Xenopus tropicalis: one gene and its partners. The protein of the gene in region 1 interacts with the protein of each later gene in a pairwise test. Links are inferred from orthologs where the notes say so. Each region holds a gene or a part of one and is shown in the gene's direction. Other genes may lie near its edges. The genes, in order: tarbp2, tceanc and znf346.

What was found.
Region 2: the proteins of tarbp2 (region 1) and tceanc interact in binary tests that used the Homo sapiens proteins (3 or more experiments, as listed by UniProt). The two-hybrid records come from large-scale screens. The link is inferred for Xenopus tropicalis from reciprocal best matches to the Homo sapiens genes TARBP2 and TCEANC.
Region 3: the proteins of tarbp2 (region 1) and znf346 interact in binary tests that used the Homo sapiens proteins (3 or more experiments, as listed by UniProt). The two-hybrid records come from large-scale screens. The link is inferred for Xenopus tropicalis from reciprocal best matches to the Homo sapiens genes TARBP2 and ZNF346.

Annotation. Positions count from the first base shown.
Region 1 is NC_030678.2:146,789,203-146,793,241, reverse strand, and holds part of tarbp2 (RISC-loading complex subunit tarbp2), read left to right. Parts: intron 1-1,738; exon of another isoform or gene 1,739-1,771; intron 1,772-2,541; coding exon of another isoform or gene 2,542-2,551; coding exon 2,552-2,711; coding exon of another isoform or gene 2,712-2,741; intron 2,742-3,468; coding exon 3,469-3,571; intron 3,572-4,039. UniProt on the Homo sapiens protein: Required for formation of the RNA induced silencing complex (RISC). Component of the RISC loading complex (RLC), also known as the micro-RNA (miRNA) loading complex (miRLC), which is composed of DICER1, AGO2 and TARBP2.
Region 2 is NC_030678.2:105,791,505-105,796,310, reverse strand, and holds the start of tceanc (transcription elongation factor A N-terminal and central domain-containing protein), read left to right. Parts: upstream 1-1,664; 5' UTR 1,665-1,972; intron 1,973-4,806.
Region 3 is NC_030679.2:46,420,362-46,424,918, reverse strand, and holds the start of znf346 (zinc finger protein 346), read left to right. Parts: upstream 1-1,362; 5' UTR 1,363-1,508; coding exon 1,509-1,566; intron 1,567-4,557.

The DNA of each region.
Region 1 (4,039 bases):
CTTTGCCTACCCTGCCACAGACAATCTAATGTGGCGTTGCGCACAGTTTATAGATTTTGCCTTTAATAATTAATTTAAAATTAATAAATTAAATGTTCTGTGCAACACCCAGGTACAGTTCTCTGACTTCAAATATTTTCCATCCAGACAGGCACTCAGACCAGCAATAAAGTTTTTGCCTATGAACTTTGTTCTTTGCAATCCAAAAAAGAATGACTTTGGCCAATGAACCCTTTACATAAAAGTTATTATTTATTATAGATATTGCCTTGTCACTGGCCTGATGTTGCGTCGAGTGCGTGTTTTCAGTCGCCTCAGTGCAGAACGTGTCCTGGGAGCGCAGAAGGCCCGTCACAGATATCTGCATAGGCGGAGGTGACTTTTTTGTTTGGGGAGGCTAAAGATGGCCCATACACAGACTGACCTACAGCTAATGTGACACTTAGTGGATTCACTGCTGGCATAAAAAGTTAACCTCCCAACTACCTCTTGCTGTTCCTACTGACTCCCAGGGATACTGTACAAAAGTGCGGGGGGGGGGGGAGTTGCTTTTTTTTACCCTAAAATGTTTAGAATGTAAAAGTATTCATACAGGCACTTCTGTTAGGGGATCTGCAAACATTTGTGTTTGTGATCAGTTAGCTTAAAGGGGTAGTTCGCATTCAATTCACTTTTATTTTTAATGGTTTTTCAGTTATTTAGCTTTTTGTTAAGCAGCTCTCCATTTGGTATTTCAGCAGCTATCTGGTTGCTAGGGTCTTATTTACCCTAACAACCAGGTAGTTGTTTAAACAAGAGATGGGAATATGAATAGTTAAGGGGCCTACTTGGAAAAATAAGTAATACAAAATTATAATAATAATAAAATTGTAGCCTCACAGAGCAATATTTTTTGGCCCCCATTTGAAATCTGTATAGAGGCAGAAGAGAGGCAAATTATTCAAAAAAATTAATTAGGAAGACCAATTGCAAAGTTGCTAGGAATAGGCCATTTTATAACATACTAAAGGTTAACTTAAAAGTGAACCACCCCTTTAGATGTGTTTATGTTAGTTTTATAGCAAGAAAGGCAGTGGGTACTGACTCCGCATTATATACAGTGAGACGCAGTCCTTATTTACAAAACCAGCACATTATATACAGTGAGAAGCAGTGGGTACTGATGGCAGATATAGTGCCAGGGCCTGAATAACACTGGCACTGATACACAACATTGGCTCCACTGTAACTAACTAGAAATGAACAAAACAATGACAAAAAAAAAATAGTAAGTGCAAAAAACAACAACAAATATATAAACACACAATGAGCTTTTTCAGAGGGAAAGAGTTAATTTACCCTCCATCTGTTAGGGTAGGGGATAGATTATAAATTATTATAGATGTCAGGTCAGGAAAAAAAAATTTAATGTCAGCTAGTGATTCTTTAGAACTGTATAGTACCTGGGTATAGTGCCTGGGTATAGTGCCTGGGTATAGTGCCTGGGTATAGTGCCTGGGTATAGTACCTGTGGGATGAAAACTGCAGCAAAAGTTGAGAGTTGGTTCTTAGGTAAAGTTACAGCTGCAGATTCTTCTTTTCAGTCTTCATTTCTGTTTCCAGTTTGCAAAATCTCCCGATCCCTGTGTGCATCTGTGCTCTGATTGGTCAATTTTACTGTCTGTCAAGAAAGCTGTGCTCTGATTGGAGAATCCACAAGAAGAAAGATCCAGTCGGAGCACAGCAAAACGGGCTTGCAAGGAACAAATTTCCAGCACAGTGCAGAAACGAAGTAAGGATTTTTTTTTTTTTGTTTTTTTAATGTGCCAAGCAGGTTTGGGGAGGCTTAGCCTCCCCTAGCCTTATGGAAAATCCACCTATGCGGAATCCCATGAGCCTAAGGTTGTCACTTAGTTTGTATTACTGGCCTGGCTGGTAAATATGCTGCTTGATTCCAATGTTATTAATAGGGGGAAAAAATCTAGGAAGGCCGGTATAAGACACGCCTCCAACTGTGCATCTTAAAATGATATTTTTGAGCCCGACACCCATCACCCTATGTACCTTTTTTTTTTTTCCAATTTAAAATGCATCTCCACAAAAGTCATTGCTTTCTAAAGTGAATGTAATTCTAAGCAACTTTACAGCATAAATTAATTATACAAAAGTTATCTGTAACTGTTATTGCAACTAAAAGCATTGTTTAACCCTTTCTGTTCTTTTGTTCTGACTCTTGAAACAGTGTAGCAACTGTCTCATCTCACTAGTCAATCCCATTGTTTCAGGAGTGCAGGGAATATATACGGATGGACATATACAGCTTTCAGTAGTGATTACATTTGCAAATAACTTATTTGTAATGAAAGTATATTGGAGTGCTGCTTAGGATTTTATTTTCCTTAATTTTGCAGTAGTTTATAGGTTAGAAGCCCATGCTTTTGTCCTTTGCCAGCAGAGGCTATAAGTGCTTTGGAGAGGCCATACTGACTGATGAGCGTGCTGGTTTGAGTTTTTTAGTGATGACTGAATGGCACCTAATTTCCGTGTTCTTTCTCTATGCAGTATTGAGCAGATGCTGGCATCGAGTCCTGGGAAGACCCCAATCAGCTTACTTCAGGAGTATGGGACTCGGGTAGGGAAGACTCCTGTGTATGACCTGCTTAAAGCCGAGGGACAAGCCCATCAACCCAACTTCACTTTTCGCGTATCTGTTGGAGACATCAACTGCACCGGTCAGTGCTCTGCGCCACCCAGTACTAGAGGTGAAATGCCCGCGTCACTGACATATTTCTTCTGTTCTGTAGTCCTCATTCTGTTTTCAAAGCTCCTACCCATCCAGATTTTGGTCCCATATGATTGCAGTGGCTATCTGATAAGCATTGTGATCGTTTTCATCTCAGCCGCATCTGTCTTGCTATTGCTATTGTACCAAATGTGAGACCTGCTCGCACTTGCCTTTCCTATTTCCTTTTAGTATCAGAAATATTTAAATGGTGCATGAGCTGAGCTGTGTTTTCCGATGGTCTTAGGCGACCCCTGTGAAAAGGTTCGACCCTCAAAGGGGTCCTGACCCACAGGTTGAGAACCGCTGCTTTAGTAGATTAGTTTAGCCTTACCAGAGGGAAGTATAGAAATACTGAGGGGCTCTATTCCAGAGGTTCAGCGCTCGCCATTTTCTTATTTTATTTTATTTTATTTAAGAATGCCCTCTTCTACTCCTTACACTTCTCTACTGGCTCCAGGCCAATGCAGATAAATAAGGGTTATTCAGCAGAGTAGAACTGGTTGTGCTGCTTTAATGTTATTCCATCTGGGGCTAGGGGAATTACAATCATTTCAGGGGGTCCTTATAACCCAGAAATTGTCAGAAATTAAATGCGTTAAGGTTCTCTGACGTTCCTTTGACCCCCTTAGCCCGGTCCCATGTGGGCCATGGGAGACCTGAATAGTATGACCTCCTCAGATCTGTTTTTTCTGTCTCCCTCACAGGTCAAGGACCTAGCAAAAAGGCTGCAAAGCACAAGGCAGCCGAGGTGGCGCTCTCACTGCTGAAAGGAGGGGACATGTTTGGAATGATGTGCGAGGAAAACAGGTGAGAACTTATTGCTAAATGTTTATATGCGGCAGAGTCACTTTAATTCTATCATGTAGATCTTTGAAAGTTGCCTGTATAAAGAAGCACAGCATAATTGCTTGCCTTCAGGAAAGCGGATTTGATTACTTGTGTGAATTTTGTGCGATAGTTGGAAAATACTACTCTGGCGTTTGGGATAAGTAGGGGCAGCAGGCAAGTTGGATTTCAATAGCAGATATGCTTAAATTACTCTCAGCGTGCCTCAGCAGCCCTTAAAGGGATGGTCCACCTTTAGTTTAACTAACTAGTTGGATGTATATATTGATACTAAGACACTTTGCAATCGGGTTTCATTTTTTGTGGTATAGTAATTTAGCTTTTTGTTTGGCAGCTTTCCAGTTTGGTATTTCAGCAGCTATCTGGTTGCTATGGTCTCATTTACCCTAGCAACCTGTGATGTAAATGAGAGACTGGAATATGAATACG
Region 2 (4,806 bases), about 41 Mb from region 1:
TGACATAGATCTGCAGTGCGTCCTAAGGGATTGACATGACATCACAATTTTAGTAATATTGTCTGAAGCATTCTGTGTCTTAATGAAAGAACTTTCATTTTTCTTTTATCTTTTAACTCATTTTAGAAGTGATATTTATTGTGTGTATAAAACTTGATTGACTTTTAGATCATTTGCATAATTAATTGATGACATAATATAATGGGGACGGCATTTCCCTCTGATAATGCCCCTGAGAAAGTATTTTCATACGAGACGCGTTGGGCTTTTATTATGATCAAATAAATGTTCTTTGGCATAACCATAGGCGGAGGGTGACTTTTTTGTTTGGGGAGGCTGAAGACAGAGTCTGACCTACAGCTAATGTGAGACTTAGTGGATTCACTGCTGGTGTAAAAAATTAACCTCCCAACTACCTCTTGCCACTGACTTCCAGGGTTACTGTGCAAAAGTGCAGGTGGGGGTGCTTTTTTTAACCCTAAAATGCTTAGGATGTAAAAGCATTCATACGTGCACTTCTGTTAGGGGTTCTCTATACATTTATGTTTGTGATCAGTTAGCTTCAAGGGGTAGTTCACCTTTAAATTAACTTTTAATATAAGGTAGACATTGATATTCTGAGACAATTTGCAATTGGTCCTCTTTTATTTTTAATGGTTTTCCGGTTATTTAGCTTATTGTTCAGCAGCTCTCCATTTCGTATTTCAGCAGCTATCTGGTTGCTAGGGTCTTATTTACCAGGTAGTGGTTTAAATAAGAGATGGGAATATGAATAGTTTAGGGGCCTGTATGGAAAAATAAAACTGTAGCTTCACAGAGCAATACTTTTTGGTTAGTGACCCTCATTTGAAAGCTGGAAAGAGGCAGAAGTGAAAGACAAATTATTTAAAAACTATAAAAGATTAACTAGGAAGACCAATTGCAAAGCTGCTAGGAATAGGCCATTCTATAACATACTACAAGTTAACTTAAAAGTGAACCACCCCTTTAGATGTGTTTAAGTTAGCTTTATAGAGAGAGGCAGCAGGTACTGACATCCCAAGCACGTTATATACAGTGAGACGCAGTCTTTATATACAAAACCAGCACATTATATGCCATGAGGAGCAGTGGGTACAGATGGCAGATATTCAGGCCCTGGCACTATAACACTGGCACTGATACACAGCATGGGCTCCACTGTAACTAACTAGAAATGAAAAAAACAATGACAAAGGTAAAAGAAAAATAGTGCAAAAAACCATAACAAATATATTAAAGCACAATGAGCTTTGTCGGGGGGAAAAGTTAACTTACCCTCCATCTGTTAGGGTAGGGGATAGGGATATTATATATGTCAGGTGACAAAAACCAATTTAATTTCAGCTAGTGGGTCAGTCTTTAGAACATGTATAGTACTTGTGTATAGTATCTGTGGGATGAAAACTGCAGCAAAAGTTCAAAGTTGGTTCTTGGGTAAAGTTTACAGCCCGCACATTCTTTTTTTTTTAGTCTTCAATTCTGCACTGCCTCCAGCAAAATTTCCCGATCCCTGTCTGCATCTAAGCCTTGATTGGTAAATTTTACTGCCTGTCCAGAAAGCTGTGCTTTGATTGGTGAATCCACAAGAACAAAGATCCAATCAGAGCACAGCTGATTTCTGCAGAACCCAGAGAAGATTTGCAGGGAAGTGCAGAAACAGAGCCAGGTTTTAAGGTGCCAAAGCAGGTTCCTCCCCAAGCCTTATTGAAAATCCGCCTATGGGCATAACTACACAGCCTGATTGAATCCTACCTCTGCACGCTTCCCCCTCCCACCCCCCCTTGCTTTGTTGCATTCCTCTCACACAGGAGAGAAGGGACAACGTGATTGACCAGAGGGAGTCACGTGGTCGCTTGTGGAATTCAGGACAGGAGGAAGTCTTTGTTATCAGCACGGAGGGAGAATATGGAGTAGTAAACGGCGTGATATGCACTTTGCAATCTGAGACACAGTGAGTAGATCCAGTAGCAGGGAAATTGTTCACGATCCAGTACATGCTTCATGATCCCTGGCCATTTGTTTTAGAACAGGGAGAAAAGTGATACATGTTTGTCTCCACTTACTGTGAGGTGCATATATGAAAAGGCTACTTTGTAAAGTATTGCTGTGACGTGGAGGAGCTGTGAAGGTGTCTGGAACAAGCGCACCTGTGGGGAACTTTTATTATTTACAAGTGGACTATTGGATCCACGATTTGTGGTGCAGCTGACTTTTACTTGCTTTTTATTTGTTTACTCCTAGCGCAGTTATTACTCTGTATTCTGTGTTTATACACAATCGCTATCTGACTTATCTTTGCCCAAATCTCCCTGTTTGCGGGCGACTAATCTCCCCGTGATGCCATCCCACCAGCGAAAATGTAAATTGCCGGTGGGATGGCATACGCGGCGGCGCGCAATTTCAGTGAAATTGCGGAAGTTTCCTCTCAAGGCAACTTTCGCAATTTCACTGAAATCGCGCCGCTGCGTATGTACATTTTCACCGGTGGGATGGCATTTCGGGGAGATTAGTCGCCCGCGAACAGGGAGATTTGTCGCAGGCGACTAATCTCCCCGTGTGCCAGAGCCCTTAGAGAGGCTTTCAAAGGACCCTATACATGCAGGGCCAGAATTAAAAGGACAGTGCCCTCCATAATGATTGGGACAAAGACCCAAATTTTTTAAATTTACCCCTGTGCTGCTCAGTGTATAATTTTAAATCAAGCAATTAAGACATGATTAAAGTGCACATTCCAGACTTAAAATGAAAGTTATTTGCATGTATTTTAGTTTTTACTATGTAGAAGTTACAACACTTTTTATACATAGTCCCCCTCATTTCAGGGCACCATAATGTTTGGGACGATTGGATTTACAGGTGTTTGAGATAACTCAGGTGTGTTTTATTGCTTCATTAGTGCAGGGATAAGATACCTTGCTTGCTTATGTTAATGAAAGTCAAGGAAGCTATTATAAGGCTGAAAAACAAGAATAAAACCATTAGGGTGAAGACACACAGAGCTACTAGTAGCAGCTACTTGTTGTGGCTACTAAAATAGACAATGCTGATCATTTACTGATAATTGTCTCTACATGTGTTTTAGCAAAGGCAATTCTCAGTATTGTCTATGGCAGGATATTTTCTGGAGTTTAGTAGCCTTTAGGGCTGTGACACACGGGGAGATTAGTCGCGCCACAACAAATCTCCCTTGTCACGGGCGACTAATCTCCCCGCAATGCCATCCCACTGGTTAGAATGTAAATCTCCGGTAGGATGGCATATGCGGTGGCGCGATTTGCCGTAGTCGCCAAAGTTTCCGCTCAAGGCAAGGGAGATTTGTTGTGGCGCAACTAATCTCCCCGTGAGTCACAGCCCTTAGAGACATTGGTCAAACCATAGGATTACAAAAATCAACTGTCTGCAATATCATTCAGAAGAAGGAATGTACTGGTGTGCTCTGTAATTGCAAAGGGACTGGTAGGCTGAGAAAGACCTCCACTGCTAATGACAGAAAAATTCTCACTATGGTAAAGAAAAATCACCTAAAACACCTGTCCAACAGATCAGAAACACTCTTCAGGAGGCAGCTGTATCTTTGTCAGAGACTACTATCTGCAGAAGACATCATGAACAGAAATACAGAGGCTACACTGCAAGATGCAAACCAGTGTGGCAAACTAGTTAGCCACAAAAATGGCCAGATTACAGTTTGCCTACAGAATTCTGGGAAAATGTGTTATTGACAGACTAGACAAAGATTTACCTGTATCGGAGTGATGGCAAGAGGAACGTTCAGTCTTTATTGGCATGTAGCTCGAGGTCTGTACTACACAAATGTGCCAATAATGATTGAGCGTTTTTAAGGGCTCTGGCACACGGGGAGATTAGTCGCCCGCGACAAATCTCCCTGTTCGCGGGCGACTAATCTCCCCGAATTGCCATCCCACCAGCGAGAATGTAAGTCGCCGGTGGGACGGCACGCTTCGCAGGCGATTTCGGCAGATCGGCGAAGTTGCCTCACGAGGTATTTTCAGCGATTTGCCGAAATCGCGCCGCCGTGTGTGCCATCCCACCGGCGACTTACATTGTCACCGGTGGGATGGCAATTCGAGAGATTAGTCGCCCGCGAACAGGGAGATTTGTCGCGGGCGACTAATCTCCCCGTGTGCCAGAGCCCTAACGCTTGTATACTACCTCGAGCAAACTTAAATGTATGCAGATAACTTTAAAGTAAAGTCTGGAATGTGCACATTGATCACATCTGAATTGATTTAAAATTTTACACTGAGGGGCAATTCAAAGAAAAATGTGTCTTTGTACCAAACATTATGGAGGGCACTGTAGCGATAGGACCTTAGTCACATACCTCTGTTGCAGGAGTTGCTGAGTGGGGGCTTATTGATGCAGACCTTGCTCCGACTTTTCGTATCCTCTACATTGTAATGCAATAGTTTGGTCCTAGGGCCGTGATCCCCAACCAGTGGCTTGTGAGCAACTTGTTGCTAATTTTTGAATTCCTGGCTTGGAGTCAAGTTTTGGTTGCATAAAAACCTGGTGTACTGCCAAACAGAGCCTCCTGTAGGCTGCCGGTCCATAAGGGGCTACCAAATAGCCAATAACAGTCCTTATTTGGCATCCCAGGAACATGTTTTATGCTTGTGTTGCTCCCCACGTTTTTAAATTTGAATTTGGCTCACAGGTAAAAAAAGGTTGGGGACCCCTGCCCTAGGGCATATTGGTGGAAGATTCCCTTGTTAGGCAACCTCACAAATATTACCTTGTGTGGCCACCTTTACTTAAAGGGGC
Region 3 (4,557 bases), on another chromosome or scaffold:
TTTTTCTTTGAGGGGAAGAATCGAGTGTGGAAAAAACTATTGCACCAGATGGAAACCCACAAAGACACAGGAAGAACAATCTGTCATATTTGATATAGTTTTATTTTTCCTCAGTGGGTACGAGATTCAGCTGTTAATGATGTTTCTGGCCCTTCTTCCTATTAAAGGAACAGTGACACCAAAAAATGAAAGTGTTTTAAAGTAATTAAAATATAATGTACAGTTGCCCTGCGCTGGTAAAACTGGTAAGTTTGCAACAGAAACGCTACTATAGTTTATATAAATGAGCTGCTATGTCGACACGGGGGCAGCCATTGAAGCTGGGAAAAAGGAGAACAGGCACATAGCAGATAACAGATAAGCTTTGTAGAATATAATGGGGTTTTATCTGTTATCTGCTAAGTAACCTGTGCCTTTTCTCCTGTAAATGGCTGCCCCCATGGCTACACAGAAGCTTTATTATATAAACTATAGTAGTCTTTCTAAGGAAAACACACCAGTTGTACCAGTACAGGGCAGCATTACATTATATAGTAATTACTTTTATACACTTTCATTTTTTGGTGTTACAGTCCCTTTAAGGTCACAGATCCTAAGTTGGAATCCTGAGCGAAGCAATATTTAAAAACCAGGACCCGACCCAGACCCGCAACCCGACTCGACCCACATGTGTACATGTTCATGCCTACGTTTTCTTTTTTGTTTTGTTTTTTTACAGGTAACCCCTTGATACACAACCGACTGCAGGACCTACACTGTGTAGCCTCCTTCCCCTCCCCCCCCCATCATTTACCTTTTCTTTGGTAAAAATAGGCATGAGGTGCAGCACAATTGTAAACTGAGCCAAAAATCTGGTTAATAAACAGTAAGAGGGCTTCTGGCAAGGTACACTCTGACATGTCAACACACATAAATGATTCAGTGGCCGCCCTAATTTGACGCCCTCACCCGGTCACCCGCAGTAACGCAACGTATTAATAATGAATATTGCCCCCACAGTTGAGAAGACCTAAAAGCCACCCGAAAACCACATTAGATACAGTCAGCATTGGGCAGAAGTGGGAGCCCGCCAAGGTGGCGTCTCTGTTCGCCTCATTACAGAAGCGCTTGTGTCACTCGGTGCCCATTCTTCCACTTAATATCGAGGGCAGTTTTATATATTATGACAAAGCGTTGTGACTTCTGTACCAAAACCATTCTTCCCGGCACAGATAAATACGACTTTGGGTTACCTATTTTAACTTCTCCCGCAGCCTGAAATACACCAATCGCGAATAAGTTTCATCGGCCTGGATTGTTCCTTCCGGGTAAGCAAAATAAAGTTTCGTTAGTTTTGAATAAGGAACCGAGCGCCTTGCAATCTCGCGAGAGTTCGCCGTAGAACCCATGCAGTCCCGCGTTTCGCGAGAGTTGCACGTACCCGCTCTGGCCGCAGTTGCCAGGCGCTGTGTCGCGGTGTGTGTGCTCTTGTGAGTTTCTCACGGTGCCGGCTTCTTCTTGGGAAGAATATGGCAGACGAGTTCGGTGACGGTGATACTGTGGAGTTGCCAGTGGGAAAGGAAGCAGGTCAGCACAAATATAAAGTTACTGCTGTGCTCAGGGGATTGAGTGAGGAGCAGGAAACCTGAATAGAACGCGTGTAGTGGGTGTGCGTCTGGGGGCAGTGGGCCTGGCGACTGCTTAGTTATGGGACGTACAAGCAAAGGTTGCCCTTGGGTTTTTGCTCTGATACAAAGATTTCCTTTATAACATCTGATGGTTTGAATCTCGCCCTAAATTGACCAAAACACGCAACTTTGTGCATGAGTTGTATCGCTTGAACGCAGCCAAGGTGATCGCTTCTCTGATTTTCAAAGGGTTGCTCTTTCCATTATCAAAAGTGTTGTCTGAGAACACAACGCTCTCTAATATACTTCTGGGGAGAAATATGCTTTACGTCTTGCTGGAAAAAGTTGCCATGTTTCCTGCTCGCAGGGTCAATCTGTTTACTCATTCCCCAGGTTATTTCTGATTATTATTATTTTTTCCCCATCCAAAATGTTGGGGCAACTTTAATCCATATTTCTGCCACACCTCTTCAGTATGGAATTTCAGCAGGTATTTGGGTAAATTTTACCAGTCAGTCAGGCAGTGATTTGAATGAGACACTAAAAGATTAATTAAGTAGGGGCCTAAAGAGAAAGACAAGTAATAAACAATAACAAAATTGTAGCTTCACTGAGCACCAGTTTTTTGGCAGCGATGGTCGGTGACCCCCCTCCATCTGACGGCAGGAAAAAGGCAAAAGACAGCTGATAATTTAAGGAAAACTATACCCCCCACCCAATGCAGGTTTCTATAAAAATACATTGTATAAAACAATGCATATGTAAAACCCTGTTTCATTTAAATAAACCATTTTTGTAAAAATGTGTGTTTTTAGTTGTTTGTGCCATTGGATAATACTAAAAAGAAAATTGCCATTTTAATTACTAAGGGATAATATGATTCACAGTGCGCACAAACACATTACGCCACGTCAGCCAATTAATGGGCAAAGTTCTGTCTTTTGCACACATTCTGCAGGATTTTATATACTATTTGTCCCCTGCTTTTATCTTTTTTACATTACTATTTTTTTTGTTAGTTGAAAAATTCTTTGCAAACACTATGGGCATAGCATGGTAAATGTGACAATGAAAGTGCTGGATGATGAATCATGTTGTAAAAACGCTCATGGTGCATTGCTTTATAGTGGCTGTGTGTGTGTAATGTTTTTCTGGTGAAATAACTGGGGTGCACACTCCGGGGCATTGGGAGAGGTAAGGGTTCCAAAACCCTGGGCTTAGGGCTCTGGCACACTGGTACCAAAGTACCATCCCACCAGTGAACCTACGCAGGCGATTTGCCGAAATCGCCTGCGCTGCATGTGCCATCCCACCGGTGACTTACATTTTCGCTGGTGGGATGGTAGTTCGGGGAGATTAGTCACCCGTGACAAGGGAGATTTGACGCGGCAACTAATCTCCCTGTGTGCCAGAGCCCTTACTGTAGAAGGTTAAACATGCTGTGCTTTGATGTACAGGTATCGGACCCCTTATCCGGAAACCCATTGGGAACAGAGCCAAAACAATCCTATTGGGTGTAAATACTGTTTAAATAATTTTGTTTTAGTAGACTTGAGATAGGAGATCCAAATTACAGAAAGACCTCTTATCCAGAAAACGCCAGGTCTCGAGCACTTTGGACAATGGGTCCCATACCTGTACCTGTAAAATTGAACTGGAGGGTGGAGGTGCTGCTGTCCAGCTTTTCGGCCAGAAATGCAAGACTTGAGCCCAGAAAGCCTGAAGACCTCTGGACATGCTGGCTGTTGGTACTGATTGGTTGCCTGATGATCACCCAGGGAAGACACAGACATTATTTTCACGCTGACAGACTGATTGGGTATTACATTTAAACTGTCACACTAAAGAGCTAGTGGGGTTGTGTTTGGTGAATAATTCCAGCTTAACATTTTTGTAGTACAGGTATCGGACCCCTTATCCGGAAACCCATTATCCAGATAGTTCCAAATTACGGAAAGGCTATCTCCCGTAGACTCCATTTTATGCAAATAATTCGAATTTTTAAAAATGATTTCCTTTTTTCTGTAATAATAAAACAGTACCTTGTACTTGATCCCAACTAAGGTATAATTAATCCTTTTTGGAGGCAAACCCATCCTATTGGGTTTAAATACTGTTTAAATATTTTTTTTTAGTAGACTTAAGGTAGGAGATCCGAATTACGGAAAGACCCCTTATTCGGAAAACCCTAGGTCCCAAGCATTCTGGGTAATGGGTGCCATACCTGTTTATACTGTAGAGTGGCTTGTAGGGAATTTAGGGAATCCAGGGTTTTTTGTTTTGTTTTTTGTTTTTTTTTTTTTTTGAAGGATTTGGTTTTGGCTAAATCTGCAGTCCCCGGCCAAACCAAATCCAAATTAGCATATGCTAATTAGCATCCGGAAAGGGTTAAATGGTTGTGGGGGATTTTTACCCCATATGCTAATTAGGATTCGGTTCAGGGGTTCGGCCAAACCCAAAAAAAGTGGAGATAGTTAATGGGAACATGATAGATTCAATAGCAATTTTGTGTCATCTCTTCATTACCTTAATTTAGAATAACCTGGAGAGTTTTCTTAAATAGATGTGACTTAGTATAAAGCAGTGATCCCCAACCAGTGGCTCGTGAGCAACATCACCAACCTCTTGGATGTTGATCTCAGTGCCCCCAAACCAGGTGTTTTTGTTTTAATTCTCGGCTTGCTGGCAAGTTCTGGTTGACTAAAAACAAGATGTACTACCAAATAAAGCCCCCTGTAAGCTGATAGTGTGCATAGAGGCTGCCTAATAGCCAGTCTTATGTGGCACCTCCATGAACTTTTATATGATGCTTGTGTTGCTCCCCAAGTCTTTTTACATTTGACTGTGGCTTATGAGTAAGAAAGGTTGGGGATCCCTGATATAAAGGAACCCCTCTTTCCAAAGTTTTGCCTGTATCTCAGGTTTGCTGATGAATAGGTGATTTTTATAT